Caenorhabditis elegans: one gene and its partners. The protein of the gene in region 1 interacts with the protein of each later gene in a biochemical or structural test. Each region holds a gene or a part of one and is shown in the gene's direction. Other genes may lie near its edges.

What was found.
Region 2: the proteins of mpz-1 (region 1) and sru-39 form a complex in vitro, tested with the Caenorhabditis elegans proteins (one study listed by BioGRID).
Region 3: the proteins of mpz-1 (region 1) and unc-52 form a complex in vitro, tested with the Caenorhabditis elegans proteins (one study listed by BioGRID).
Region 4: the proteins of mpz-1 (region 1) and npr-1 form a complex in vitro, tested with the Caenorhabditis elegans proteins (one study listed by BioGRID).

Annotation. Positions count from the first base shown.
Region 1 is NC_003280.10:10,773,440-10,781,736, reverse strand, and holds the start of mpz-1 (PDZ domain-containing protein), read left to right. Parts: upstream 1-3,610; coding exon 3,611-3,663; intron 3,664-8,297. Other genes in the region: ect-2 (Protein ECT2), read left to right, coding at 1-30, 413-918, 974-1,052, 1,101-1,226, 1,277-1,704, 1,753-1,828, 1,923-2,064, 2,127-2,256 and 1 more.
Region 2 is NC_003283.11:9,799,695-9,806,454, forward strand, and holds sru-39 (Serpentine Receptor, class T), read left to right. Parts: upstream 1-3,781; coding exon 3,782-4,222; intron 4,223-4,268; coding exon 4,269-4,427; intron 4,428-4,474; coding exon 4,475-4,578; intron 4,579-4,624; coding exon 4,625-4,913; downstream 4,914-6,760. Other genes in the region: F46B6.10 (uncharacterized protein), read right to left, coding at 1,769-1,913, 2,021-2,142, 2,218-2,334; sru-37 (Serpentine Receptor, class U), read left to right, coding at 5,767-6,207, 6,255-6,410, 6,456-6,559, 6,606-6,760.
Region 3 is NC_003280.10:14,680,393-14,688,543, reverse strand, and holds the start of unc-52 (Basement membrane-specific heparan sulfate proteoglycan core protein), read left to right. Parts: upstream 1-4,087; 5' UTR 4,088-4,247; coding exon 4,248-4,450; intron 4,451-4,998; coding exon 4,999-5,153; intron 5,154-5,239; coding exon 5,240-5,478; intron 5,479-5,654; coding exon 5,655-5,837; intron 5,838-6,202; coding exon 6,203-6,353; intron 6,354-6,741; coding exon 6,742-6,851; intron 6,852-7,220; coding exon 7,221-7,401; exon of another isoform or gene 7,402-7,460; coding exon of another isoform or gene 7,461-7,569; intron 7,570-7,611; coding exon of another isoform or gene 7,612-7,859; intron 7,860-8,151. Other genes in the region: hhat-1 (Protein-cysteine N-palmitoyltransferase HHAT), read right to left, coding at 7,461-7,569, 7,612-7,859. UniProt on the Caenorhabditis elegans protein: Component of an integrin containing attachment complex, which is required for muscle development and maintenance. Probable structural role in myofilament assembly and/or attachment of the myofilament lattice to the cell membrane.
Region 4 is NC_003284.9:4,765,378-4,773,893, reverse strand, and holds npr-1 (Neuropeptide receptor npr-1), read left to right. Parts: upstream 1-3,908; 5' UTR 3,909-3,919; coding exon 3,920-4,093; intron 4,094-4,529; coding exon 4,530-4,674; intron 4,675-4,723; coding exon 4,724-4,911; intron 4,912-4,970; coding exon 4,971-5,222; intron 5,223-5,272; coding exon 5,273-5,334; intron 5,335-5,379; coding exon 5,380-5,544; intron 5,545-6,148; coding exon 6,149-6,259; intron 6,260-6,308; coding exon 6,309-6,524; intron 6,525-6,569; coding exon 6,570-6,630; 3' UTR 6,631-6,742; downstream 6,743-8,516. UniProt on the Caenorhabditis elegans protein: G-protein coupled receptor for FARP(FMRFamide related peptide) neuropeptides. Activated by FARP neuropeptides flp-18 and flp-21. Plays a role in modulating social and feeding behavior.

The DNA of each region.
Region 1 (8,297 bases):
TACTTGTCACTGTTGAAGCTTGTTGTCAAGGTTGGATATTGACTTATCGCGAGGTGCAAGCGCGCTCCACGGCTAAACGAAATAGCTCCGCCCATTAACGTTGGGTCTCGTTAGGTTTTGGCAAGAAAAACAGAAGTTTCCAAGAACTTTTAGCGTTTTTGGTTGTGTCTTCTGTTGCTTCCATGATTTTTGTGTCGAAACTGAAACTATTCGTTTTTCAACTAAAACAATAGAAAACATTACAAAAAGTTTTTAAAAAATGCTTGTAAACATAACAACTTACCTCTTTTTTTTGGTGCCAATTCCTAACGATACCCAACGTTTGGGGGCGGATCGTTTTTCATTTTGCCTTGGAGCGCACTTGCACATTGATTTCAAAAGTCTCCATTTTCTGATATGAATATTTTTGCAGTTCAAAGAAGCTCTGGAATGTGAGATCTCACACAACGAGTTCATGTCAAGATCCGATGTCGCCATGATGTTTGGAAAGCTGGATCCGATTCTCGAACTTCACGAAAGGATTTTCGCCAGACTGACAGTAATGTCAAACGAAGCGAATACACTTTTGACGGTCGTAAATGGAAAAAAGAACGATGATAAGAATCTGGACTTTGCACAAGTGTGGATTGATGCAAAAGAAGAAATGAAGAAGGCATATCCTCAGTACATCAACTCTTATGACACAATCAAACGGTTATTCGATAAACAGGATCGAGAGAATTCTAAATTTCACACATTTTGCAAGGCAAAAGAGAGTAATCCAGAGTTTCATCGGCTCAAGTTGACGGATTTGATGGTGAAACCAGTGCAACGTCTTCCAAGTGTCATTCTTTTACTCAAAGAAATGGCAAAGAAATCCGATTCAAAGCTGAAGAACAATGCTGAAGAGGCCGCAAAAGCGATTGACGAAGTTTTGAAGTGTGTACTTTCAACATAATTAAATTTTATTTTTCTAAATTCATTTGTTTTTCAGAACCGCCAACAAAACTCGTGAAAAGAATGACAACTTCATTTCCCATCTGAGCAAGTTCACTGACATTGAAAATGTTCCAGTAAGCGCGGAAATTTGTTGAACAGATGTTAAAATAATTTTTTTACAGCCAATTTTGGTGGCTGCCAATCGAATGTTCATACGAGAGTTGGTCGTTTCTCCGATTGCAAGTACGTCGCCAGGTCTACAGCAGTTTGCGAAAATGAAATTATTTTTATTTCATGACGTGCTAATTGTAAGAGAGTCTTTAAATAATTATTTTGAATAATAATTCTGAAATTTCAGATCACGAAAATACGCAGCGAGAAGAATACAATGCAACGTCTAGCTCGTCACGCGTCGTTTGCCAGTTTACATTCGAGACAGCGTCGCCCCTACAGGTACATTGACCAGATACAGTTGAACACGATGCGTAGTGCATTCCGAATTCGTGCTCCCGACGAGATTGCGAAGTGTCTGGAGTTGCAGCAGCAGAACGGAAGCACAAAGCCAAATGTGTTTGTATGGTGCCTGATTCATCGTGACGAGCAAGGTGGTGACATTGACACAGTCTTCGAATCGAATGATGATGAAGAGGTTCGAGATTTTCTCGACGATATTCATGTGAAGATCTTGAGTGATTGTGGGAGATTCTTCTACTCGTCGGATCCATCAGATATGAATGAGATCAACGATGCGATGGTTTCGGATATGACAACTCGATACTTTAGAAAGTAGGCTTATTTCAGGTTTCAAGTCTTTAGAAAAAATCAAAATTTCAGTCTTTGCGGAGCGAAACCACAATATGGACACGGCAGTCAGATGAACATTACGGTCAGTGAACGATCTACACAAAACGTGAGAAATGAAGTTTGATACATGAGTGGAGAAATTAAAATTGTCCACAGTGTTACACCTAACTTGAATGCTTATATATAAACTTTTATTACAGGAATGGTCACACAATGAGTCGTTTATGCCACCACCACAGTCACAGAGTCGAATGCGACGAGCGTTCAGTAATGCTCAACTCACACTTGCCACCACGCTGGGCTTTGGCAGAAATCAGAGTCGAAATAACTTGGGACAAATTAGTGCGTTTTTAGAAAATTTATTTTTTTTTCTTCTGAAATTGTATTTGATTCACTAATTTCAGACGAGAACACGACATTTCTGCAGTCTCCCAGAGTTTCGTGTGATCCAGCAGCTCTCGCAAACATGACGTCAGTCGGCGGATTGCCTGGATGCCAAAGCGAATCTGAATCGACGCCAAAGCGAGGAATTCGGTACGTCAATGCACCCCACAGATTTATCGGAGACAACACGTTTTCGAGATCTGTCCGAAAAGTCAATTTGAAGATCTACGGTTTCAGGATGTGGCACCGTGTCAACTAGAAATACTCGTAGTTTTATCGAAGAAAAACTTAACAATGATGCTCCTTTGTTGTCACGTTTTTCTTCGAGAAAACCACGAAAATTTCTAATTGGCACGGTGCCAGATCCTGAAGCCGTAGATCTTCACATTGTAGATATTCTTTTAGTAGATCTTCTTTTAGTAGATCTTCTTTTCGGCCGGATCTTGAAGGCGTGTTGCCTCATTCATTGACCATATTTTCCCATGAGTTAATGCCAAATTGACACTCTACATCTAACATATCCTGTTAGTTATTTCAGTTCTCGCCTCACCTCGACAACGTTCCTCGGCGGCCGACACAACATACTCGGACGAAACACGTCGATGCGCCGTCAGGCTACCGGATTTGCTCATTCGGAAAAGGAACTACCTCGCTCAAAAACATCTTCATATCGTGTCACCGATATCTGAAACTCCCCGCACCCGTGTAACTGATAACTCGAATCTCTCCTCCGACTGATAAATAATTCGTTCTCACTCTTTTCCGAGCTTCATACCTCCAGATGCTCACCGGTGTATTTTGATGGTTTATTTCTTGCTTGCTCTCAGCTCCCTCCCTCTTACATTTTTCATGTTTTCACCCGTAGTTTTTCATTTCGTTTTTGTAATTACAACAACCGAAACTACCGTAATCACCATCCACAACTACGACCAGATCCTTTGTATCATACTGATTTACCATTTACCACAGGTGTATTTTTCCCCCCAAATCGTCATTATCATCTTCCTGTCCCCGAGGCTTGTGTGACCATTGCTCCTTGACTTTTATTATTTCCCCGAAATCACTTGTATGCCATTCTTATCCGATACCCCTTTCCCCTTTTATTCTCACCATTCATTTGAATGGTCATTCCCCCACAGTAACGTTACGATTACTTTTTTCTTTTTTTTTGAAAATTCAAATTTTATTCTTGTTAGAAAATGCGATAGGGGGTTCAAATGAAATTACACCCTACTTGTCTTTAAGTCTTTGAACTCTCTAAAAACAAAGAAACAAAGATGAGATTAGTGAGAAAAAGGAAACATGGGCGGAGCCTTATAGATGGCCCCTGGAGATTTCATATCTTGGAGCACATGCCGCTTGGCTTTTATTCATTCATTCCGAAACACGTCTTGGCCAGGATCCTGCATATTAGTATATTTTAAATTCAGATTTTTAAATTTTTTTTATCTTCTTAAAATTCGAGCTAATTAATTGTGATTCAGAATCTGGAATACATCATTGAATGATCGATGAGCCAGAGGATATAATAGCAGTTGAAGATGAAGCCGAAAGAAGGTAGGTCTGAAAAGAAAAAATGATTCGAAAGCGAGAAAAAAGATGTGCGTCTTTAATAAGTACAATAACCCGCAGATTCCCGTTATTTCGATAATTTCTCGGATTTTTCCACACATTCTTGCTAGAAAAATATTTTTTGTTCAGAAACAAAACTGAAACTTCTGGTAAAAGTGAATAAAATCGAAGAAAAATGGAAAACGCCGCAGCTGGGTTACTGTACAATTTAAAGGCGCGCACACTTTTCGCGCAGCCTCCAAATTTTATTGGGGAAAATCGCTAAAATTCGCAATTGGATAATAAGAGACTGTTTGAAAAACTTTCTCATACATTTTATCAGTTGATTTGGGGCACGATCGCGCTCCACTGCCAAATTAAAACGCCCCGCCCCTAAACGTTGGGTCTCGTTAGGAATTGGCGGCAAAACTAGAAATTCGAACATTTTCAGTCAATTTTCGCCAGTTTCGTTTTTAGGCTGTTTTTTTAAAATTATTTGTATGTTAAAATTGATGAAATAAAGCTGGTTATAAGTTTGGTTATAAAAAGCTGCGGCAAAAAAAGGGGGAAAATATATTTTAATAGAACGAAGGAAATGCAATGTCTCAATAATATAGTTAGACCCTTCATTTTGTACTCCATTTTTGGTGTCCCCCCGTCCAGAAGGAGACGTCTTCCTTTTCTTCTGCTTCTTCTTCTAATTATGCATCTCCTCTATACTTTTCCTCATCTTTTTTCTTCTTCGTTTTTTTCCTTGGTCCCATCTTTATTCCAATGTTTCTTTGTGTAGTACCACTACCATATGTTGTTCTTTTAATACACTTTCCCTCCTTTCTTGCCTCATTTTTCTTCATATTATAGACATGGTGCATCATGACTTGAAGCATCATGCACCCCCAAAAAAGAAAAAAAAGTAAACTAAGTCGAAAAAGTTTTCGAAAAAGCCCTTTTCCCTGATTCCTATACAAATAGCATTGTGCCAAGTGGACGTTGTTTGGTGGGAAAAAAGGTGCATAGAGAAGGGCGGGGGTCCCGGAGCCGGCTCAATGTTACATCCGTTTCGGAAGAGTTGAAGTAGACAAGGAGAAAGATGAATTTAAGGACTCTTGGGAACTACGCTAGAACACCTTTTCGCTTTTGTTTTCGGAAGTATAAAAAAAAACAGAAAAACTTAAAAAAAATAGAAACTTGATTTAAGCATAATGATTTTTCTGTACACAGAACTGTTATGGGGTTATTCAAGTAGTGTCGGAAAATTAAAAAGTGTAGAAAAATTACGTCACAACCTTATTCAAGTATATAAAAACATGTATTTAAATACATTTGTGACGTCACAAATGTATTTTAATACATTTTGCTACATTACTTGAATAACCCCATTACTCCAAAAATACGGTACCCGGTCTCGGAACGATAATTTTTTTGTTAATTTCAGACTGGTATGCGTCTTTAAAGTGTACTGTAGCCACAAACTTTTCTCATTGCAGATCGATTTTTTAACGCCTGTAACAATGTATATATGGGAAAGAAAAGTATTAAAAATCGATGAAAATTCCGCAGCAACAAATGTTCGAATTTACAGTACTTTTTAAAGGCGCATACCTTTTTGAATTTGAAAAAATTGTCGTGTCGAGACCAAGGACCGTATTATTGAGATAACAATCCGAACGCTTTGGCATCGGGGCTCCGGGAGCTTACCTGAAACCTTTCATCATCTGGAAGAAAACCTAAACTTTCCCGTTTTCCTTTCTGGAAGAACAATATTTCCGAACAGTTGCTTCATTGTTTATAGTTTTGGAAAATAATATTATAAGTTGCCGTATCTTTTTGTTTTCTTTCAACAAAAGATTCAATAGATTTGATTTAGGGTTGTCATACTATTTTCTACCATACGGTACCTACAGGCTTCACCCAAGTAATTAGAATTTTCGCATTCCTCTAAGCTTGGCTACATTTTTTTGTGAAGGCATTTTACAGGCGAGTGACGGGTGACATTCTGTCGCGCCTCAGTAGAACGCGAAGACGGGTGTTTCCACCTGAACCTTCTCACCCAATATGTAACTAACTTCTCAAAAACCAATCCTGGCTTCCACAGGACATCGATTCTCACCAGTTTCTCACCCGTATCAATCGGATAAATCTGGTCTTTTCTTCTTCTTCTTCTCAAGATGCTACTAGCCACCAACACAGAGCACGCCTACTCTTCCTCTCCGTCCGTCTACTCCGCGGCAGCTCCTCCGCCGCCAACTCCTTTTCTTTTCTTCATCTGCTACTTCTTCTTCTTCTTTTCGTCTTTCTGCTCCAACGCAAGACGATAGCTCAATTATCCACAAACACACACACACACATGGAGAGAAATACACACACACAAATGCATCACATTCGCACTCCGGGGAGGAATAGAAAAATAGACGTCGTGTACTTCCAGATTCTGGTTTTTTCTGATTTATGACAATTTTTTCCATTTCTGTCGTACAGTATTTTGTTTAACATTTTTTAAAAATATCTATATGCTGTCAGCACTTTTCATTCCGCCTCCAAGTTTAATAATTCCCCAAAGAACTTTTATCAATTATCCCTAGAAATTTGTTCTCTACAACTAATGTCGGCGTAACAGTCATGCGTAGGCGTTTTCGGCGTGAGGCAGGCAGAGGTCACCTTCAGGTTTGCCCTAATTTTGGATTTTTTGGCCTATTTTTCGAATTGCTTTTTTCCAACAAATGGATAGTTTTCAAAATGTGAATTTTAAGTAAAGATTTTTTTGAAAAAAAAAGAAGCTGGTCGCCTCGATGATTTGAGACCTTGGATAATCAGCTCGAAACTGGTAGATTATGTTTCGATATGAGTTCGGTTATGGATGGTTACTGTACACTATTGCTGGAAAACCGGACGTACACTTTACGTACACCAAAATCATGCCAGTCTTACTGTACACATTTTCAATATTCCAGAACATTTTTTTCTTAAAATGCACACAATTCTACTGAAACTTCTTGGAAGACGAACCTTCCATCCATCATGCCCAAGTGTTTATTCTTCCATTTTTCGACCTCCTCATCTTCCATCTTCTCCGCCTTCATTCCTTCGTTTTTTTTCACATTTCCACTTTTTTTCTTCATATTTCATTTTTCGTCTTTTCTTCCTAATCCTCGTTTTTCTTTCATTTTTCAATGTCCCTTTCCCTTATTTATTGTTTCCAATATTTCCAACAACAGCTCCATTGGACATTTCAAATTTCAAATGTCCGCCCGTTCATTTCTCACTCAACCTTTCCGGCCGTAGGAAAAATAAAGATGAAACTGGACATGCAATTCGTAGTTTTCTTTCGTTTTATTGATGTCTGGACATGTTCGGTTTCTTTTTGGAGAACCTTTTGAAATATCATTTTTTGGAAAAAAAATTCAAAAAATAGTAGCACCAATATTTTAACACCATATTGCTCGAAATATTCGAAATATTATAAACTCTCATTTTCAAATTTTCTTCTTGGTGCTCTTACGATGCTCTATCAAATGTCTGCCGTCTCTCCCAATCAAACAATATTTCCATCTATCAAATGCTGGTCATTGACAACGATTGAAAGATTCAATGAGCTTCAGCTTCTTCTTTCAATGTTATCTTTTCAAATTGATTTTTCTCAGGCGTTTCAATTTTTTCCAAATTCGTGCCTACATTTTCTAATCAAAACTCACAAAAGCATCGAAAATAGGCGGTAGGCAGTCACATAGGTAGGCAGGCATAAAGTAGGTACAAATTGGAGATTGAGACTACGTGACTAGACCCGGATCAACTAAGAATTTTATTTTTAACCTGGTTTCCGCCTCAAAGTGCTCCTCGGAGCAATGAATCGGGTTTTGTGTTCTCATACTTTACACATTGGCGGATCACTTTTAAATTTGTTTGTAACTTTTTTTTGAGGAACCGGAAATTTCCGAAATTTCTTTTTTTTAAATAGCCACAATTATCTTCTGTACTTACAGAGTTAAGCCAAAAATTAACTTTTGATAATTTTTAAGTAAACATTAATTTTTGGATATTTTCCTTTGAGTTCCTTTTTTGGCCCGAATATGCAATATATAACAAAGAAAATCTAAGAAAATTAGATTGCAAAACTTCATAAAATGCGGAAATTGAGTGGGCCAAAGTTTGGAATTTCTAGCATTGGAGACAAAGCATTGGAGACAAATATTCCAGAGCGAATTTTCAGCTAGATAAGTCTTTTTTTCAGTAATTTTTGATTAATGAAACTCAATAAAAAAATGGTCCAGCTGAAAGTTCTCCCCAAAAATTTTCTCACCGATTCTAAATTTTTCAAATTAAGCCCCGCCAATTTTTGTTTTTTTTTAATTCGAGCTTCTGGAGCCAAAGCTACCTATCAAACTTTGACTCTAATTCTTAATCTTCAATTATCAATCTTGAACATGTACCAACCGAGACATGACTGTCACAACAAATCGTGGGACTTCTCCCCTCTGTGAAAGCATGTGGTTCACCGGGAGCACACACAGGGGCTCTTCAACCCTCTAAATCTATTGTTTTTGTGAATTGTGTGTGTGTATGTGTGTGTGTGTAACAAATATCTTTCTGAGATGGCCCCGCGGGCTCCAAGGAGCCAACGAGAGCCCAATGATCTTGGCTCT
Region 2 (6,760 bases), on another chromosome or scaffold:
CTTTCCCAAACTTTTTTGAGAAAACCATTATATCCATTCGATTTCAAATGTCAAAAAACCCCCTGTCCGAAATTTTCATGAAAGAATATCAAAGACTACGGTAATTAGGCCAAAAAGTCTGAAAAACGACCGTGCAACTTCTATAGCGCTCCCTCGAATTTTCGCTATTTTTCAATAAAATACCTAGTTTTATGAGATTTCTGAAAAGGATATAGTATTATATATTAAGAAAAAAGCATTCATTACGAAACTTGAACTAATAATTTAATTTTGTTCACTAAAGATATTTTGAAAGGTTGATATTAAATTCGGTAGAGATAGGTAAGGTAGATAGCGCTGCTCATTGTGAGGAAATCAGTTTTTCTCTCTAGAACAGAATTTTGCGACGTGCCAGAGATTGGACGCGGTTCATTTCTAGTAGAAAAGCTTCATATTCATTGTTGAAATTTTTATAAGTGTTATTCGAACAAAAAACTTTTGAAAAATGATTGGTCCAATGCAGGAGATCTCCTTTAAAAAAATTGCACATACATCAAAACTGGGCAAGTTCACTGCCCGCAGGTTTTTGGGTGAATTTTTAGTTTTTAACAAACACTTTGAAATATTAAGTTCGGATGCAAGTTCTGTGACCCCTCTGAACACTTCGACAGTTCTTTTGTCGTTCGATCTCGAATGAAACGCGCGGAACCACGGGAAACAGACCCGCCCAGTGTTTCTGCACATGTTAATTTGTTTGAGGGATATTTCTCGAATTTTACCGATCATTTTCCAACATTTTTCGATCCGGACAAAATTTGTTTTAAATAGTTAATTGAATGGATATCTTGTCTACCAGAAAAGACGCACATCCATTCTCTGACATGCCTCAGATGTGTTTTATCGATAGAACAACTGATTGGTTACTAGACTTACTATTAACTTGGTCTGTCAACCTGGCCCATATTGACCAAATTTTATGACAACTTATTGAAACATTATCAGTAAATCAAAATGAAAATTTCGGTCAAGTTTCGTATCAATACATGCAGTGGTAGCCGAGAACTGGCCACTAACGCAAAGTGAAGCGTTTCAGGCCACTCTTGGGATCCCAGAAGTTTTCACGTAATATATTTCTGTTGAAAATTGAAAAATGAAACCTTATGATCATTTTTCTTAATATATAATACTATATCCTTTTCAGAAATCTCATAAAACTAGGTATTTTATTGAAAAATAGCGAAAATTCGAGGGAGCGCTATAGAAGTTGCACGGTCGTTTTTCAGACTTTTTGACCTAATTACCGTAGTCTTTGATATTTTTTCATGAAAATTTCGGGCAGGGGGTTTTTTGACATTTAAAATCGAATGGCTATAATGGTTTTCTCAAAAAAGTTTGGGAAAGTGACGAAACACGAAAAAAATAGGGGGCGCTATAGAAGTTGCACGCACTGTATACTACTTTTACAGTTAAAAAAAATTACCACGGATTTTGCAGGTTCCTTTTCGTTTTTCCCAGTATCGATTGCATCTTCAAGTGTCATATTGGTCACATGCTGAGTGCTCTCAATCTCTCTGGCACGTGGATCAGATTGCGTCTTATCAGTGGTTATTGTTTTTTCTTTCTTGGGGATAATGGATTTCTGGGACTTTTGAAGAATAGGAGGCGGTTGAGCAACTGAAATCGCCTGTGCAGTCTTCGGGCCACCTGATGGAGTTACAGCTCGAATCGTTGGTTGTTTTGAGACAGGCTTCTTCTCCATCTCAACAATGTTCTCCAATGTTGCACCATCCTAATTTGGTGGGACAACTGGTCGTTCAGGCATCTGGAACTGTGCAAGAGGGTTTTCGTCGTCATCTCCAACAATTGAATCTCCAGTTTTCTCAGGTTTATCCTTCTTCGCTAAACGCTTTGCCATTTCTTTGAAAGCATCATCCCTGAAAAATGATCTTTAAAAAAATTATTTCAAGTAAAGTCGAAAGAAAAACAAGTTGTGACAACATTTTATGCCTATCCAATCACCCCAAAAATGCAGAAAACTCACGTGGAATCTGGTTCTTTACTGCTTTTGACTCCTCTCCGACCTCCTTTCGTTTTTGTTGAACCTCTGTCATCCCTGTCAACAATCCTCGATTGTCTTGAACATTGCGGTAGCGGTGTGGTTCCCTGAAATTTGGATGGTATTATCAATTATTCAATTGCGAAGTTCAAGTTCTAAACTATGAAACAATATTGAATTACCCGTGGAGTGACTTCCTCTAAAGTAGCCTTCTTGTCCTTCTTCAATTTTGCACAAAAAACGAGAAAGCTATTACATGATATTGCAAAAAGCATCGAAATAACAATTATAATGATCATTATGTTGACAGTTGAATTGTATGCTTGACCAGATGAAGAAAGTAGAAATAATTTTTCTAGTATAAATTGACCTTATCATTTTTAAACGTTGTTCTAATTAGCGGTAAACAAACTTTAGAAAAACGCGATTCAAAGTTAAAAAAAAATAGAGACCAGATGTCTACGCGAATTATTTTTTCAATCATTAAAAGAATAATTTTTTTCGTAAAATATTTACATTCCAGAAGTTCTGAGAAATTCAATTTTTGATCATTAGAATAATTAATTCGTACCACTCTTCATCAAGTTGTGAATGAAACAATATCGAAAAAGTGAAAATGCTGAATTCAAGCGGAAAGAAACCAAACTTGGGTCAGACTAAGAAGACCAAGAAGGCCACAAAAGTTCAACTGATCATTCTTTTCGTTTTGCTCAAGCATTGAAAGATGTCAGAAATATGATAGTTTATTTTGTATAATTTTTTCATGCGATTTTTCCCCATTTCTTTTGCGTCTGAAATTTTCTACTCAACTGGCATTTCCTTCAAACTAAAAATCATTTGATTCGCAGATTAGAGCAACGCACCCAAAAACTTATTTTTTGCAGACTTGTTTGTCTCTGCAGGAAAAAACATTATTTGTTGGGGCGTCGCATTAGTTTACCAATATATTTGTACCCAAATGTTTTTTAAACAAGAATAGTACTTTAGTTTAAACATGAAAATCCAGAAAAAAACTAGTTATTTGAAGGAAAAACCATTGAAATCACTTACCAAAAACCTGCGAAAGAGCGTTTTGAGCTATGTTGAAAAAATCTGAAACTTTGTTCGCCGAATTCTATTTAAAAATTTAGGTTTTTTCGAAATATAAAAATTCTAGAAAACACCTCAAACTGTTGCTAATCTTTTAGAATATCTTGCAATCGAAAATCGACAATAATTGATTCTGATGAAAAACTTTTTTTTCCGATGTTCCAAAAAAGCAAACTCTTCTGCAGTTAATTTTTGCGGTCACCAATTATTAAGGTTTTCTTTCAAATATCGAAGGCTCCAACTGGCTGTCGAATATTCAGCTGAAATACTTGCTTTGCTAGTCCATAATTTCATTTACCAGGAACAATCATTCGTCACTTGAATAAAAACGCGTAAACACTTTTAATTCTTATAAGTGAATTCAATTTCACTCATTTTCTGCTATTATCCACATTCCAGAAACAGGAGACCAGACAAGACTTCTTATTTTACACTTTTTCACATCTTTCGCATGTACTACGAATTTCCCGAAATACATGACCTTAGCACCTAAATAATCCGGTATATATGTAAGTATAAAAGATGCAAGTTTAAAAATTGATCTTTTGCCAATACACGTACTGCTCAATGAAATTTTATGAATAGCTGGCAATTAAAGCGCCTACTTTCAGTAGACATACGTCAACCACACTTTTCATTCTTCGAATAACTTCCAACATGTCTGTTTATGGACATATACCAATTGATAATAAGACTGAATATTCCAATTTTACATATTCATTCAATGTTTGGACTGTTTTCGCAGCAGTCACTTGTACATATACACTGTTTTCGTTTTGGATTACACTAAAAATGTGCATTTTTTATTTGAACAATAAAAATAACGAAGAAGTGAAAAGAGGACTTCGTCTTGATGTTTTTCGATTGTTTCTTTTGATGCAAGTATGGAAAGAATTTCATGTTTTGATGGATTTTCTGATAGTTCGAATTCCACTTACATCATTATTTACCAGTTATTGCTATCAATCGAAGCCAGTTCTACTTTTAAAAATATTATCATTGATGTTCACAGGAGTTGTATATACATCTCATTCATTAACTCTTGCGTTTTGCATTCAGAGAGTTGCATTATTATATGCTCATGAATATCACAAAGATGTATGTCAACTCATGAACCTCTAGTGTTAATTCATTTCATTTTCAGAAAATTGCAAAAATATTTGATATTGTCAACCCTCTCATTATATTTGTTGGGCATGGTTTTGGAATACCGTTCTTTTTTGCATCAAGCTCTTGTTATCAAATGGACGAACCATTTCCATTTGGAGCAATTGTAATCACAGCTCTACGCCGGGATATGGTGGTTCATAGAAAATCCAAAAGTTAATCGTAATGCAAGTATTTTTTCAGAAAACTTACACTATTATTTACTCAATTTTTTCTAATACAAATATAACACTGACGATTATATTGACAATCATGATGTTTGTAAAGCTGTATCATAAACGGAAGATGTAAGTTAAAATTCCTTATAATAAATTTTACACAAAACTTTTCCAGAACTTCCGAGTTGCGCCGACCAGTAGATTTAAAATCAGAAAAAGTATTAACAGCTACAATGATTCTAATTCTTCTCCCTGTTGTGGTTCCATCAATTCTGTCAATTGCAAATCTTTTTTCTTCAAATTTATATGCTTATATGTTTCTCCTGCGTTGCATTGCATTGGATGTCCGAGCTCATATTGTTTCTTGTTATTTCTATTATACGCATTACATTTTTAAAAAGAAAAACCGTAGTACTAAAATTCGAAACGACAGCACTATTCGAACAGTGTCAACATATTTTTAATGTGTAATAAATTATTTTGAATTTGTCTTTTTTCGGATGAAAAAATATTTTTTTTGGGTTCAAAAATTTCAAAGCACAAGTTTTTAATGTGATAATAATTTTCTGGATACTAGTTTTTATAGTGCATTCATATCACAAAAAGTGAAGTGAAAAAGTTAAAAACGTTGTCCAATTTTTTTCTTTAAGTTTTCGGGGAAACGTTTCAAAACTTTACTTCATGGAACGCATTGCTTGCTAAGCAATTTACCGCAATTCGTGTAATATATATTGTTCAATGAACACCATTAAAGGAAAATAAATTTTCATGAAAACTCGCAGGATAGTCAGAAAGTCTTGCCTTTTGGCTGCAAAAGGTAGAGTGAGCATTCAGGATCTCCTGGAATACATGGTTTTTCATCTAACAAATTTTTGAAAATTCAAAGAAACAATTATAACCAAACGTGACTATTTGAAAATCAAAGTTAAGTAAAATCAAAGTCGAGAGTCACTAGACTGCTTGCTTTGAACATTTATTCATTATCAATTTTAAAGCAACTACAAACAATTTGGAACCTGTATACTTTTTTCAGTATCATATCTGTGTAGGCGTATAAGATCCCAATGCCCACTTCTTGCTTGATTTGTCATTTCTTTGTTTTGGAAGTTTTCAAATGAGTCATAATTAAATCAAGTTTTCCATAAAGTATTTATGTCTGCTCCATAAATTAGAGTTATATTATTTGGTGATTATTGATGCCATATTTGTTAAAGAATAACACAAAAATCAGTAAATTAACTTTTGAATTGGCTCCAAAACAATTCCTCCCCAATTCTTTTCTATCCTGGTGTTATTGTTCGGTGATCTATTTTTGAGATGTCTGTCTATGGATTTAAGGCGATCGATTTTCAACCGGAATATTTCAATTTTGAATACACATTCAATTTTTTGACTATTTTTGCTGCTGTCACAGCTATCTACGGTATTTTTTCGTTTTGGATCACTGTGAAAATGTGTATTTTCTATTTGAAACATAAACATTGCAACGAAATGAAAAAAGTATTGAGACCGGATGTTTTTAGAATATTTCTTTTGATGCAACTGTGGAAAGAATTTCATGTTTTCATTGATTTTTTAATTGTTCGAATTCCATTGACATCGATTTTCACAGCGTATTGTGCAGAGTCAAAACCTGTATTAATTCTTAAAATATTATCTTTACTATTTATTGGAGTTGTTTATACATCTCATTTAATGACTCTGGCATTTTGTGTTCAAAGAGTTGCACTTTTGTATGCTGCTGAGTATCAAAAGGATGTATGTTTTGCACGGTCCATTTTTAAAAATAATAAAAAGACATTTAGACAATATCCAAGGTGTTTGACATAATCGCTCCAAGTCTTATAATAATTGGTCATTGCTTCGGAATTCCTCATTTCTTTTCCACAACTTCCTGCTATCAAATGGACAAACCTTTTCCGTTTGGAGCTATTGTTATCACGGCATTGACAAGAGATATGGTAAGCATTTGATTTGATAAAACGCTTAAATTATAAATTTTTCAGAGAATTTACACAATATTCTACTCAATGTTTTCAAACGCTTCGATTATTTTAATTATTGTCACTGCAATTTTGATGTTCTTCAAACTTTTGCAAAAACGGAAAATGTTAGTGTCAATTGCATTTGCTCAAGTTAAAATTTTAAAATTTCAGAAGTTCCGAGCTACACCGAAAAACAGATCTAAAATCTGAAAAAGTGTTGACAGCAACAATGATTCTGATTCTTCTCCCAGTCGTGGTACCTGCAACTCTATCCTTTGTCAATCTTTTTGCACCAAGTGCTTATCCTTATATTTTTCTCTCTCGGT
Region 3 (8,151 bases), 3.9 Mb from region 1:
ACTCATCGGTTTCAGCTTCTTGATCGATCTCGTAATTTCCCACTTCATCGACCGGATAACGAATTTCCCCGTCTTCATCAATGAATCCTGTTGTTTCTTCGTCTTCGAGTTCATCTTCTACACCATCTTCCTTTTGTCGTTCTTCATCTGCAGTTGTTTCCGTCTCGAAGTTATCGGCCTGGGTGCTTGAATTTGATGGACCATTGCTTCCCGGCTGGTGAGAACCATGATTATTGTCCGTCGGGTCTGAAAGTAGTTATTTAGTCCCAATAAAATCATTAAAAAAATTTACCTAGAGCAACTATTGTCACGCTTTGAATCAGAAGACTCCGGGGTGCTGAATTCAAAATTCTTCGAACTGTTGTTCTTGGATTTCTGGCCATAATCCTCCGTTTCTAGCCGGGAATGATACAAATCTTTGAAAAACACACTGGAATTAACAATTAACACATATTGATAACATATCACACAAAAAATACAATAAAAAAGGTCAAAAAAATGAAATATGTGAAATACGACGAAGAAAAAACAAAATAAAATCAATAATCAATGTTCTGCTAGTTAGCAGTGGGTTTCTGCTAATTAGCAGTGCTTTTTAGCTAATTAGCAATGACCTGCTAATTAGCAGTGGTTCTCTGCTGATAAACTATGGCTTTACTAGCTTTTGCTGATTAGAAGTGATTTTCTGTCGCTCTGCCGTGACTCCAGTTTATCTGAGATACTGAACTCGCTTTCTAAAATCTCAATGGGATCAGATCCACGAGTTTTGCTACCTCCGTTTTGCCTGAATTTTGACTGGAATAGAGAATTTGGAGATTGCAATGTAAAGACAGGCTATAGAAAAAAGTTGATACTAGAAGCCAGGCAGGCTTTTTTGTACCTACACGGAGGCACCAGTATTCGTTTAGAGGACCGAATATAGGTAACTGTAAAAAAAGCAATGGTCTTTTTCTAATTTTTTAAGGATTTTAATTTTGCAAAAAAAAAGACCGAATCACATGATTTATTAATCATTGTTAAATTCTTTGCAAATAAATTACGTATTTTTGGAAATTTTTGAATATTGCCACAGAAAGGAGAAAAGATTCCAGAACTACGCCACTCTTTTGCAAAGGATGTCATAAATAATAAAGCTTTCTAATTTTTTTTGTTGCAAAATTGAAAACAAATTACAAAGAGCCCTTTAGTTTTTTAAACATTCATATTCGGTACATGGATATTGTTTTCTATCACAAAAAATTTCCAAGCTCAACTCCACAGAGGAAAAACTTCACTCACTAACTTAAGTGATCTCGCCTCCAATTCCATTATCCCATTGAATTAATTCACCGCAAACAACAATGTGCACATCCACTCATCCCGTCTGACACATATCAGTCATTCATTAGAGCCCCCTCTCACACCTCGTCTCGCCGAAATTGAAATGTTACAATCCACGGAAACTTTGAATGCCTAACCACATTATCCTCTGAATATTTCACTTTTCAATGCGTGCGAACCAAAATGCGAATATCTATACTTTTTGAACTTTTATTTATTATCTTTTTTTGTTGCGATCCAATCAACGCGGCGCCAGTCTCGCTATCAAGTCTATGGACACTTGGTAAGCAAACTTTTTGTTTTGAGAACTTTTGCACCTAGGGAAACTTTTTTTTCAAAAATTGAAAAGAGGGGATACAACTGTCCTTTTTTATTTGCACAGTCCGTCTTTTTTCCGCTAAAAGTGCTTATTATCTGTCCACTTTTTTGGAGGAAGAATTGAGGGGATTTTTGATGACGACGAAATTGTTTGTGTAGAAATGAGGGAAAAAGGTTGGCAAAAATCATGTAAAACTGAAAGATTGCTGAAAGTGTAGTCAGTAATACAATAAGGCAAACATATTCTGACAGTTTTGCACCTTAATTTGCGATTTCGTGGGTTATTGTACCTTAAAATTGTCGACAAATTCGGCAAATTGCTGGTTTGCCGATTTGCCAGCAATTTTCATTTTGGAAAACTTGCCGATTTGCCATTTGCCGGAGTGTTTAGAGAGATTTTTTATAAGACGGAACAACTTAAAACTGCCTTTTTGGAAATTTGTTTTCGTTTTCTTTAGATATTTACATAAATAGAATTTACTGAATTTCGAGACAAAATGTGCAAAGCCAAAATTTGCCGAAAATTTTATTTTTCAAAAAATTCACTTTTTTTTCGTTTTCCTGAACTTTGCCGATTTGCGGGGAACTTTAATTTTCGGCAATTTTCCGTTTCGCCGTTTTCCGAGAAAAAAAATTATTTGCGGCCCACCCCTGGTGTGTAATGTATGCATGCGACAATTTCCTAACGCGCTAACAATTGCCTTTACATTAGTTTACAACTCTTCCCGGTTATAGATCTCATTCATCCTGTTGCGTTTGTTGGGTGGCCCCCTCCTCATTGGGATATGTTTGCCTGCTTTTTTAGTTTAAGTGTGTCTGTATTTTTTTCAAAATGCTTTGTGTTATGGTTTTGTTTGGGCTTAAAAACTTTTTTTTTCGAAAATTGCTAAATTATTTTTGCCATTTTTAAAAAAATTTTATTCACTTTCATATATTTACTCACTGTACTCAAAAAATCATATTTTTTCTCTTGAAAATTTTGTGTTTGTTCCAATTGTTTTTTCCTCTAATTAACTCCCAATTTTTTTCACCAGCTTTCCCCAAAAGATTTGCACTTTTAGATGCAAGAAGTATAGGGATAGTGCGAAAATCAGCAAACAATTCTCCCAGCTCTCCACCAATTTTCCACTCTTTTTCCTCGCCGCTTTTCACCTTTTAACCTACTACCCCCATTCCAAGCAGCTACCGTTCCTCCCTTAAATCGGCTTGAAGACTGTCCAATTGTTGTGTCAATATTTGTGGGGGTACTTTTATATAATCGGAAGGTTTCGACAGTTTTCGCCACCTTCTTTGGTGAGGTGGCGATATCAGTGATTATAAAAGGTATGGGAAAATGAAATATATATAGTCAAAGCTATAACCTCTGGGAGATGATTCTTCCTCTATTTATAAACACTTGAGGATGTGAAAATCGGACGGAAAAGACGAGCCACCAATATGAGGTTTGATGATCGGGGAACTCTCGTCGAGTGATGAGATGACGACGACCTGTGTATGTCGGAAAAGATTTGGGGATATTTTGTTTGGACAGGATATATGATGGTTTGGGCGGGTATTGCAACAAAAACTCTTTTTGCCAAATGAAATCAAAAGTGCACGCGGGCCGGAGCAACTTGAAAAAGGCGAAGCTTTGTACATGGTTTTCACCGCCTTCCTAGAAAAATCCTAGAATTCAGAAATTTGCAATATAGAGTTGTTTTGAATTGAAATTCATGAATTGATCACGAAGTGGCTAGGTTTATTGTATGTACAAAAGTCTTTCGATAAGACTATGGTAGCACACTCAAATGCACTTGACGTGAAACGCCAGGTACTGTGGATTCACTCTGTATCAAGAGAGTGGCCGACAAATTTTATTTTTGGCAGTTGCCAAAATTGAAAATTTTAGGAAAATTGTGGTTTTGCAACTATGTATTCATGCAACATCAACATATTTTATATGTTCTGTTGAATTTTTGTACTTTTCTGGAAATTATGTAGTTTTACATAAAATGAGGACTGCTAGATTTGAAGCTTAAACACACTGGAATTGCTTTAGAAAGTATACATGAGAACTGTATGATTTGGTTACTGTCAGCTAATGGCCAGAAACGCATTAGAATTGGAAATATTTTCTCAAACACCAATGCTACCAAATTTTCTAGCTCTTTTCAAACTTGCACCCCCAATAGCGGCAACCGCGTCTAATATAATAACAATAAGCAAGAAACATGCGAATCTATATTATATATTATGAGACGGTTATATACCATGATACTCCGTCCAACGTGGTGCATGACAAGCTATTCAAGTATGTGAGTGTGTGAGTGAGTGTGAGTGTGTGTGATGTGTTTATGCTAGTTGCGAGACGCGCAGGCGCAACAAGAGAGGCGGCTCTAAAATGCAAATATTTACCTGAGTCAGGAAAGAAATTCAGTTAGAGAAGAAGGAGGGTGGAAGCTTCTCCTAAAAAAGTGGGCGGGGCCTAAGAAGTTGCAACTGTGCCGCTGTGCCTCGCCGCCGCCGACGGTCAGCGCGCGCCTCTGTCTAGCAACCTTCTATCTCCTTACTTTCTTTTTTTAAAACTGACCTACTGCTCATTTATACCCCCCGTCAACTAGTTAGGGGGGATGGCGTTTTCGCTGTTCTCCGTCGTTTCACTGACGGTCATCTACCGGTTGACCATCAACTTTCCCGAACTACCGTACACTCAGGAGTTGAAGAACGTTGAGAGCGATGAGTTCGTGAGCACATCTAGAGATATAGCTCATTCTATTCAAGAGTTGGTCAAGGATCTAGAAGGAAGGCATACAGCTAAGGTTGCCGATTATAAGTGAGTTTTGAGTGAAAAAGGTTATCGACAATTTTGGGCGTTTTTCACTTTTCAAGAAATTCTAAAATTGCTCCCCTAATTTCCACATATTTACTTTTTTGCGGAATCTTAAAATTACAAAATGTCCATCAGTCCGTAATCCAAACCCGTAACTGTTGCCCGTGGGCCATAACCCAGAGTCCGTAATCCGCAAGTTCGGAGACCCGGGTTCCAAAATTGGGAGTCCGGAGTGCAGAGCCCGGAGTCCATCGTCCGGAGAACGGAACCCGAAGCCCGAGGTCCGAAGTCCGAGGTCCGGAGTCCGCGGTCATTCAAAATTCAACAATACTAATTTAGAAGGCATACTTCTGCAGCTTAATTTTAAAAAGTATATATTAAAGTTTTCAAATAATTCTTCCAAATTCCAATGTCATGTTTTCTGATAATTCTTAACAAAAAAAAAACGGTCGCTTCCTCCCACGAGAGAAAGTCAACAATAGAGTATTTTGTGTAAATACATGCGTATGTATGTACATGTGTGTGTACCTATATGTTGTTGTAACTTCCAGATATCACAAAATCATTGGATCTCTTGTCTACGTGGATTTGTACGCTGAAAAAGAGTCACCACTGGTGTCTGATGTGTTGTTGTCCGCGATAAAGTCTGGAAAAATTGGGAACCTTACGGTTTCCGATGAGGGTTTTGAGCTTCATGTTGTAAGAGGTGTGTTGTTGTGTGTTGTTGTGTGTTGTTTTATATGTTAAAATTATTCAGTCGCCTGAAAAATCTTACTTTACCAAAAATTGCAGACTCGTCAATAGCCTGCGCCACCACAGAATTCACATGCCTTGACAAGTCATGCATCCCGGCGGATCAACGTTGTGATGGAAGACGCAACTGTCCAGATGGATCAGATGAGCACAAGGAGCATGGAAAATGCAAGCAGCATCAACCAATCATCCATCAAACTGAGAAAGTTGTCTTCGCTCAGAAACATGGATCCATCCATCTCTCGGCTTCAATTGATAGTTCGGTAGAGGATAATAAGGTTCGTATACACTTTATTTGATTATAAAAAAGTGTCTACATGATTGGAGGCTATGCTTAATTTTCTAATTCCAAGCTATGTTGATAATTAAAAAAAAAGTTTCTTAATTGACTTTTGAATTGAGGTAATGCTCCGAAAAATCTTTTAATATTGTGTAAAACTATTGATTATTCCAGATTGCTTGGTCCAAAGACAGCGTTCTTCTTGGAGTTGGCTCGATGACCTTGGCAGAAGACGGGCGTGTGACGGTTTACAAAAAAGGAGACAAACATCATCTTCATATCATCAACGCCACCGACGCAGATGATGGAACTTATAAAATGATTGTGCAAGGAATAAATGTGGAGGCTGATTTTGAGGTAAGCGTTGGAAAGTGATTCAGGAAATTTGAGAAAAATATTAAGAAAGGGGTTTCCATATATGCTATCATTGATGGTTTGAAACTTCCTTTAAAATTTTAAATTTCCAAAAATATTGGCAAAACTGTAACTGAGAGGTTCAACGACTATTATATTTGCACATGAATTTTTTGGTCCATTTTTTAAAAAATTTTTCTTCTCCGATTTGCATATTTTGATACATTGTGTTTCAACTTAAAGGACTTCAAACAAGTGAAAATATGTTTGAAAATTTCTAAAATCAAAATTTTTCATTATTCCGAAACCGATCAGAACCAATTTCCATTTACAGTATTTTTAGCTATTCATAAAATGTTCAATTTCAGGTCCGCATCACCTCCGACCGTGTCGCCACCGAATCCGACGAATGCCCAAGCGGGGAGCGTGCCTGTAAATCTGGACATTGCCTTCCAGTCGCCCAATTCTGTGATCGCCGAGTTCAATGCCCAGATGGTGATGACGAGGAACATTGCTCTGGTAGGGGGCCTCTTAGTCATAAAATACATTGAACATTTCGTTATAATAGGTGCTAGATACTACCTCGCTCCTTAGAATGTAATAATTGATGTTTTTCATTGTGAGAAAAATACTAGTACCAAAAAATGGAAGATAGATCAATGACTCATTTCCAATAATTTTTAGTTGAAAAGCAGCCAGTAGACCCGGTTATTCCAACAAGGTGAGAGGGGACGAAAAGAGCACACACACACATGTGTGTGTGTGTGCTCGGAGAAACAATAGTTAAACATTTGACCAGCACACTTGTTTTGTTTTTCGCACACTTGTAGGAGAAAATGCTCAAGGAAAAATTGAAAAATTGTGCTCCGTGCTTGAGAAAATCTTTCGTCGACTTGACTTATTACAGAAGTGCAATGCAAATCGAATGAGTTCCGATGCGAGTCCACAAATGTTTGTGTGCCAACTGTCGTCGTCTGTGACGGATGGAAAGATTGCCATGATGGTTCTGATGAAAAGGTAAGGGGTTGGGGAATTTTAAATTCAACAAAGTTGTACTGTGAAACTACAGTAGGGAAATCGTAGGGATACATTGGACCCACAAAAAGACCGCATTTTTGCAATACAGTAGTATTCCAGAGCCTGTATGGATACTCTATAAGATATTACTGTAGATGCACTAAATAATTCAGGAATGGGCGGCAATTGCTGTTCGGCAAATCTGGCAAATCGGCAAATTGCCGGATTGCCGATTTGCCAGAAAAATCGTTTGCCGCACACTCCTGATAAAAGGTGCCTTTATTGCATTTTTTTAGACAATTGGGATTACTCCAGGAGTTTTCAAAGGCAATCTTTAATTTCAAGTTCCTTTAAATTTCAATTTTCCAGAAATGCTCCCATCCACGCAAGACCTACAAACCTCATCATGTCCACCACGTAAAGGTCAACGCAGTTTGCCAAGATGGCTCGGAGCCCGAGTTCAGTCTTCACGGCTCGAGTTATTGCTGGTCCAACAAGGTGTGCCCAGCCATGACCGAATGTGTGGCTGGACTGTGTTGCTCCATTTCTAGTTAGTTTATTCTTTATTTACAAATATATTGAACCAGAATTTATTTGGCAAATCAAATATTAATTACTCTTCTCCTTTTTGCTCTTTTCCAGGCTCTTAAGCCTATCAACTTCCATAGCGGTATTTGCATGGAACCATCCCAAGCTGATAATTAATAAGAATGGCCACCTGAAATTCATTTTAGTATTCATTAAACTAATGGTTTCTCACCTAAACGTAATAGTCTCTTCTATCAAAAATCTTTGCACAAATGCCGCTCCAACATCTGAACCTCCAAGGAAGTAAAAGTTGGAGTACAGGCCGATGGCAAATGGCAGAATGTGGCACCACGCCAAGATTCTACGGAACGCCACGTCAGATAGATTAGCCTCCCGCCACTTTCGAACACTTTCAATTGTGTAGATCGCCTTGGATCCCATCTCGATGAACAAGGCCAAGATGTTCAATCCTATCCAGACCTAGAAAAGATGGAATAGAGTTGTGATAATTACTCGCGTAATTAGATGGATAGATCTTGACATTTTCAAGTGATCTTGATCTAAATATAACGCTCTAATTAGTTTACGTCTATGGAATATTTACTGGAGGTGTCAGAAAGTATTCTAGTTTATCTCATGAATATTACTTTCAATGCAACAAAAAACTAAAGACCTGCCTACTTCTTGCCTACGTGTCTGACTAGCTCAATTTACCTCAATTTCGGTGTCACACCATCGTTCTGCTTCTTAAGAAAATTTAACTTTAACTCAC
Region 4 (8,516 bases), on another chromosome or scaffold:
TAGTTTAACATGACCAAATATTATAATATAACACCCCAATTTTTAGAAAGCATTTTTCAACATTTTCGGTCTAATTATTGGTAAACTGCCCAAATTCCAAAAATGTAGACTTTTTATATAGTATTTCTAAAATCAAACACCTATAATGTTGAAATAGAAAAAATTATATCACGCATATGTTCTAATTAAAAACATCACAACATATTTTCGGCCGGCATCCAGTAAATTCAACCAATTTTTGAAACGATTTATTATGCCATTTAGTCAGTCTAACAAACAATTAATTGATTTTAAAAATCATCCTTAGTATCTAGATTTTTATATATGTATTAAAAATTTAAGTTTTCAAGAAGCAGTAACAAAATTACGGTTGGTTTAGTATGTCTTCTTAATTATTTGGCTAAAATTCGTTGGCAGCTGATGCTTTTGAAATTGCCTAATCCAGATGCATGAAAAAATAGAAATAATACGTAACAGGAAAACGCAGTTGGCACAAAGAAAACATGGCAGCAAAATTAGAAGATTATAAATAAGCCCCATAGTGTTAAGGTTTCTTGTTTCACGAAAAGGGCTTTCTAACTAGAAGAGGAGTAATTTTCTGAGTTTTAGAACCAAAAAGTCATTTGTTTCTAAGCATACAGTCAACGTGCAAATATCGAATTCACAAAACCAAGACTATTCATCATTTTGAATGATTTCCATTTTCCGCCTCTCTATTACTAATCAAGTGCTCTTAACATGTACCTCAATTTATCACGAGAGAATTTGTCACGAGAGACTGAAAAATTCAGCGGAATGAAACATTTAGCTGGTGTCTGAACGGTTGACAAATCGTTTGGCTGATATAAATGACATAGTACTTTAATACTAGTTGGATTATCGGTGACTCCGCGTTTTCCTTTTTTTCTAGTTTTTTCCCTTCGAATTGACTATTTTCTAAACTAAAAATTTTAACACAACATCTTACTCATTGAGAAAGCCATACTATTTATTTTCAGTAGTTTACGTCATGTAATGAAAAATTAATCCGGGCTCCGTGTCAGTCATGTTCCAAACTTTCAAATATTTAATTTTTCTGGTTTCAATTCCTACGATTATTCCCATCGAATTGCAAATTTATGAAAATTATTTGATTGATTTTTAGTTTCTAGCAGAGCTAGCAGAAAACGGTGGCATTTCCGTCTTTGAACTCTCGGGGGTTGAAGCAAACATTTCAAAGCATGAGACATGCGATCTCCCCGATGTTAAACCGGAAAACTAGGAGGTAAACGTACTCTTTGCGCTGGCTCAAAATTTATTTATGATTTCTCAATTTCTAGTTGAACTGATCCGATCTATGTTCTAACCATATTTCAATTTTTAGACATCATTTTTAATAAAAATGTTTGGAAGATACAAATTATCATAACTTGTATTTCAGTTTTACACTTCACAAAGAGTCGTGCGTGGGTCCGGAAAATACCTCATTTCCGTTTTGATGTCTATTCTTGGCGAAAAATATTCATCTGTATATTTTTTAACTTTTTGGTGCAAAATTTGAATTTCGAAGAAGTTTTTTTGAAGAAGTTTTTCCCTACGTAGTTGATAAACTCGGAATGTGTGACTGTGGCCATTGAATAACCCTACTAATTTCTTGTAAAATTTCTGCAATTGTTGGATGTTAAAGGAGGAGGAAAGGTTTGGATTGTCATAAACGTACACACTAAAAATGTGCCCAAATGAACGACTCAAAAAATGTTGCAATATTTTTTGTGGTAGTTTGAAATTTTGAAAAAAAATACAGCTAATTTTAGTGGAATTTTTGAATTTTGCCTACTTTTCTGTAGCACAGCTGTTGGATATGAACTGTTAGTCAATTACCATACTTTATTGCATGGTGACTTTTTCAAACATTTAAATAATCATGAAACATTTTTGAGCAGTATCTAATAAATTTGATCATTTCAGCTATTTTTGAGTTCATATTTTCAATATATCCCAAACTGTTATTCCCATTTTAAACAACCAATAGGCCTTTTGAGAAATTATGAATATACATCTTACGGTTAGTTTGAAATACGTGCAGCTTTAGCATGATACCAACAAAACAGGGCACAATGTGCACACCGCGAATCAAAAATTCTTTCGTGATGCGCCAATAGTGCTCGGACCTCAATGTGTTCATAATGCTCATTGAGTTTGTGAAAAGCACTTAATTTTCTCGGTCTCATGCAACTAAATCTCTCAGTAAAAGGAAATAGTTCTGAATAGTCTCCTTAATTTCAAAGAACAAATATTTCTTAATGATGTTTTGATTTTCGAGGATAGATAATATATTGCAAAATGATTTAGTTTTAATTTCTGAAAACTTTGAACTTTATTCATAACAATTACAATGACAACTACTTGAACTTTAAATTGAATTTATGAAAGCATGAAAACAAATTTTCCTTATTAGTAACTAGTTTGAAAAATAAGTTCGTTAGCCTAGTTGTTAAAAAAAATATAATAATAGGATTTTTTTCATTGAATGTTCCAATTTGATGCATTATTCTCCTTGAAAATGAATTGTGATTTGAACGTCGCCCGATCCAATTGTAGCTCAACTTTAAAAAAATCTGGCTTCAGAGAATTTCGAGATTAAATTTAATCAGTTTATCCAAAACTCAATCAGCCTCTGGGTTTGTGTTGTTTTGATTGATATCAAAAATTTAATCTCAACCCACACATGATCAAAACCATTGTCACTTTTTTTTATTTCCTACTTAAAAATTCAATTTCCGTTGTTTAACGAAAATAGAGTTGGAAAACAATTGCGGAATTTTTGAAACCTGTTTCAGTAAATTTTCCCCACATATTCTTTTTCTCTTTTTTCTCAGGTATTCATCTTTTCGGCCCTCGATCCCTTTTTCATTAACGTGAACATGTCAACCATTTTTCGGCTTCATCACACAACTCCCTCTCACATCATTCCTGTTTTTGCTCTCATTTCACATTTAGCAAATTTCAACGCAATTTTTTTCTGGTTTCCGTCTAAGATATTCGTCACATAGATCAGTGCTGTTTTTTTGACACAGGGTTTAGAAATTTTGAACCTTGGTTTACCAATATCTTGTTTCTATCCATTTATTACTAGGTAGTTGTTGAACCATACGGAAAAAATAAAAAATTTTCCACTTGTCAAAGCGATAGATGACATCCTGTGCTTCCAGTATCTATAATTCTGTAATGAATCTCTGTCATTTGTAATCTGTATCAATTCGCAGGTGTATTCCGCCAAAAATATACATTCTGAAAGCTCAAGATGGTTTTAAGGTCTCCGATCTTACAATGTGGTTGAACTACCTAATTAGACTTACCCTATTTTTTAAAAGTATTGCACCTATACTGCCTTATCACCCAGATGCAAAATATTGCCATTTCACAGCTTAACTAAACCTGATCTTAACACGACAAGTTTTTTTTGTCAACTGAAAACATTTGCACCTTTAAAAAATACTGTATATTGAAACTTATAAAATTTTTGTAGACTCGTAAGAAAACCTATGAAAAGACCACCAAAACTCATCAACGAGAAATGAAAAGTACAGTAATCTTTATAAGTGCACACAATCTTTATAAGTTGCATTTTAAAATTTTGTCGTATTGTCTAGACCGGGAACCTGTTAGTGGGCCAAGAAATAGTATAATTTTGGGGTTTTTAAAGATGTGAGTACGAAATATTTAATTTCTATAAGCCATAAGCCATGCTAAAAAAACCCTAAAAATTTGCTTACATGAGAAGAAAGAATTATACTCAGCCAAATCTCTAATCACTTTCTGGAAACTATAGGATTTTATTTTTTATCTATTAATCTATTTGGTTAACACCCTCTTTCATCTTTGTTTCCTCAATTTTTCTTTCCTCCATTAGACTAAAAAAATTTCAGACATAGGCCAAATGGAAGTTGAAAATTTTACCGACTGTCAAGTATATTGGAAAGTGTATCCAGATCCTTCTCAAAGTATATATGCGATAGTGCCATTTCTGACCGTGTACCTTTTTCTCTTTTTTCTTGGACTCTTTGGAAATGTGACCTTGATTTACGTAACTTGCAGCCATAAAGCTTTACTGGTACGTTTCGTTTTTTTTTCGGGTCAAATTTTGTTCTGTTTTGGAAAATTGACAATTTCGGGTTCTCTGAACAATTTGATTCGAAGTGCATAGTGCGTACAGCTTACTGACACCCGGCTAACGAGAGACGAGGTTATCCATGTCTACTTGAAAAGTGACGTACATATTTGGCAAAAAAAAAAAACACTCTTATAATTCTATATAACCAAATATCATAATAAACGTTTCACAACTAGAAAAAAAAATTTTATAGACAGTCAAACTGAGTAATTACCACTTCTTGAAAGAATTTTTCCAAAAACGAACCAAATACGTGATGGAACATCACAAAAATGTTTTTAACATTTTTTGAAGCGGATCAAGATTTTTACTCTGACTAGTCCAATCAAAAATCCCAGAACCTTCACTTCTCCTGTGAATTATCATTAAATTTCAGAGCGTTCAAAACATATTCATTCTGAACCTGGCGGCGAGCGATTGCATGATGTGCATATTATCGCTTCCAATCACTCCAATCACAAATGTGTACAAAAACTGGTACTTTGGAAATCTACTCTGCCATTTGATACCATGCATTCAAGGTATTTTTTCTAAAACAAGAAGTTTTTTAAAATGACGTTTTTTTTTCAGGTATCAGCATTTTCGTATGCACATTCAGTCTCGGTGCGATTGCTTTGGATCGGTATATCCTTGTAGTAAGACCACATTCTACACCACTATCCCAAAGAGGAGCATTTCTTACTACTGTTCTATTGTGGATCCTCTCTTTTGTTGTAACTCTACCCTATGCGTTCAATATGCAAATGATTGAATACACAGTGAGTGTCGTTTTTTTCTAGGTATTCAACTTCTTATACAACTAGTACCCTCGTTTCAGGAAGAGAGAATATGCGGCTACTTTTGCACTGAAAAGTGGGAATCTGCCAAGTCTAGAAGAGCCTACACAATGATCGTGATGCTCGCCCAATTCGTGGTCCCATTCGCTGTCATGGCCTTCTGCTATGCAAATATTGTTTCGGTGCTCAGCAAGCGTGCTCAGACAAAGATACGCAAAATGGTGGAGAGAACAAGCGCGTTGGAGAGCTCTTGCGCATTCCCGTCGCATGGTCTTGAACAGTATGAAAATGAGGTAGTTTTATTGATTTTCAAATTAAAAATTCACATTTGATTTCGTTCCAGTTGAACGAATTTCTAGACAAACAGGAAAAGGAGAAACAACGAGTTGTACTTCAGAACAGAAGGTATTAAATGCAAGGTTTCTAACCGAAATACTATTTGTGTTTTAGAACAACGTCAATCCTAGTTACCATGGTTGTCTGGTTTGGGATAACTTGGCTGCCACATAACGTCATTTCTTTGATTATTGAATATGATGACACACAATCGTTTTTCCGACTTTATGGCAGAGATGATTACGATATCAGTTATTTACTGAACCTTTTCACTCACAGGTTTGATTTTAACCAAGAACGAACGGTTTTGACCATTCTGAACGTATAAACCCAAACATGCCTCAAATGAACAAATTTCAAAATAAAACTTCTCAAAATTTTTTTATGCCGGTTCATTTTTTGGAAAAAGACCTGGGTTTAGCTAAAATATTCAATTTCTGTCACTTTTCCGCAGCTGTCGAAAGTTGACTTTTTTTAAAATTATCGTCCTTTATCGCATATTTTAATAGTTTATCTCACTTTTTTCGATCATTAAGGTATTTTTTAAGCCAATAAGTAACAAAAAATGAACAAAATCGGCTACCTATTGGATTGAAAGATACCTTAATCAACGAAATAACGTGAAATAAAAGCTACAAATGGCACAAATGATGATTATTCAAATAAAGCCAGTTTCTGACCGCTGTGAGTCGGGAAAGTGGCTAAAGTTGCGGATTTAGCTGAAATTAACGTTTTGGCCCAAAACGTTTTGAGAAGTTTCATTACGAAATTCGTTCAATTGAGCACATTTTGTGACTATATGTTCAAAATACCCAAAACCGGATCCCTCCTTTGAATTCAATTTTTTTCATGTTTTTGCAAATATTAATTTTAACGTTTCTAGTATTGCCATGTCGAACAATGTTTTAAACCCGGTACTCTATGCGTGGCTGAACCCAAGTTTCCGTCAACTGGTCATAAAGACATATTTTGGAGACCGGCGTAAAAGTGACAGGTTTGTTGTCAATTTCGAAAACGCGTTGTAATTGTGCTTTGTCTTCCAGAATAATCAATCAAACATCAGTTTACAAAACAAAGATCGTGCATGATACGAAGCACTTGAATGGAAGAGCCAAAATTGGCGGTGGTGGTAGCCACGAGGCGTTGAAGGAGAGGGAGCTGAACTCGTGTTCGGAAAATTTAAGCTATCATGTGAACGGTCATACGAGGACTCCTACACCGGAAGTTCAGTTGAATGAAGTTTCAAGTCCTGAAATAAGGTAGAACGTGAATTTGAAATCGTAATTAAAATTTTGATTTTTTAGTAAACTTGTTGCTGAGCCGGAAGAATTGATCGAGTTCAGCGTCAACGACACGCTAGTCTGATTGTTTTCTGACATATCCTTTTTTCGTTGATTTCGCAACTATCATCACTTTCATCCTTGCTGAAATAGTTTTTATGATCTTTTTTTTGAATAAATAATACATAGGATGCATATATATCTATAAGTGTTTTCATGACGTACACATACGAAAATTGATGATATGTGGTCTCGTAGACTAAACGATCATCTCGTGTTCTACAAACGAATGATTCAAAGCAAAGTGCTTCAGAAGACTAGAAGGTAGGGAATTAAACACGAAATTATTATGCAAAAAGAAGAGTTCAAATATTGAACATGTGGTAAAACAAAACGCTATGCAATATTTTGGAGTTTTGAAAATTTCAGACAAACTGCCGAATTTTTCGGAAATCGGGAATTTTGCTGAAAAATTTCTGAGCCATCATTCGCCGGAATTGCCAATCGAAAAATGATTTACAGAACACTAAACAAGGTGTAATAATTCGTTTTCAGAATAAGATTAAATTTAAAAGTTGCTAAAAATTGTCAGCAATCTGCAATTGCGGAAATTTCAGCAATTGCCGAAAATGTTAATTTCCGAGTATTTTTGATTGCCGTGCACACTTTACTTTTTACAAAATTAAAATACCAACAATTGAATACATGTTTGTTTCTTTTTAAAATAACAAATCTCAAAAACTGATTAATTACCATTTTGTTACTGTAAATAAATTTTTAATAAATTTTTTAAGCTGCAATTTTTTTTAAATATTTAGTCGCAAACTTGTTGCACTAAATGCTGAAACACAAATTTATTTGCCGTTTGGTTGTTTTCTGAAAATTCAAACAATAGTAATTAAGAGTTTTTTCTGATAAATGTTAAAATTTCACTTACATTTGTAAATTAGAATTACCGTATTTCTTCGATTAATATAGCTGCAATACTATTGTTCGATGGTCTTCTAGCTTGCAATACTAATAGGGAGTGCAAGACTATTAGGGAGTGCAATACTAATTTTCAGAGCATTTTTCTGACTTTCAGCTTACTAGTTTTTTTCTGATAAAGCTCGAATCTTGTGTAAAAATTCAGAAAATTTGATCTTAAGTGTAACATATAAGTTCAAAAACTTCAATCTCGTAGAAATGTTGTAAAAAACTGTTGCAAAATAGGCAAAAAATGCTGTTGAAATCCTGAAATCAGCGATACGGGATTGCAATAAAAAAGAGTAAACGCAAGACTATTAGGGAGTGCAAGACTAATAGGGAGTGCCATACTAACTTTCGGAAGGTCTCCGAGGAGCAATACTAATAGGGAGTGCAAGACTAATAGGGAGGCCATATTAATAGAAGAAATACGGTAATTTTATTGAATATGTAGTTTACATCGAAAAGTTTTCCATATACGAACAACAACTTCAGTAAAAAAAATTTATCTTGCCAAAAATTTCCAAAAAAAAAAAACAACGTATCTGAAATTTTTATTGAAATTCTTATACTGTAATTTATTTTAAAAGGACTTTCTGTAATAACTAATCGTAAGATAAATTTTGGCACAAAAACTTTTAAAAAAATTTCTCGAAGCCTACGAAGATTTTAAAATTTTACCAAACCCCATTTCAAACTATTTTTCATAAATTTATCAATTTTTATCAACAAAAAATAAATTAAATTTTTTATCAAAATCAATATTATCAATTTGTACCACTCTTGGGTTCCAAATTCAGTTTTGAAGATTTCTGCAAAATTTGAACTAACTTTTTTATTCTACATTTTATTGAAAGAAATGGTTTTGGTCGCAAGATGGTTCATTGTGTACAAAGAATACAAAAATTCTAATGTACTCGAATTATGAGCACAGGTTATGAATCAGATCTATAATAAAATTCAAAACACTTCAGTACATTCTACAAATAATCTGAAGGTATGCTA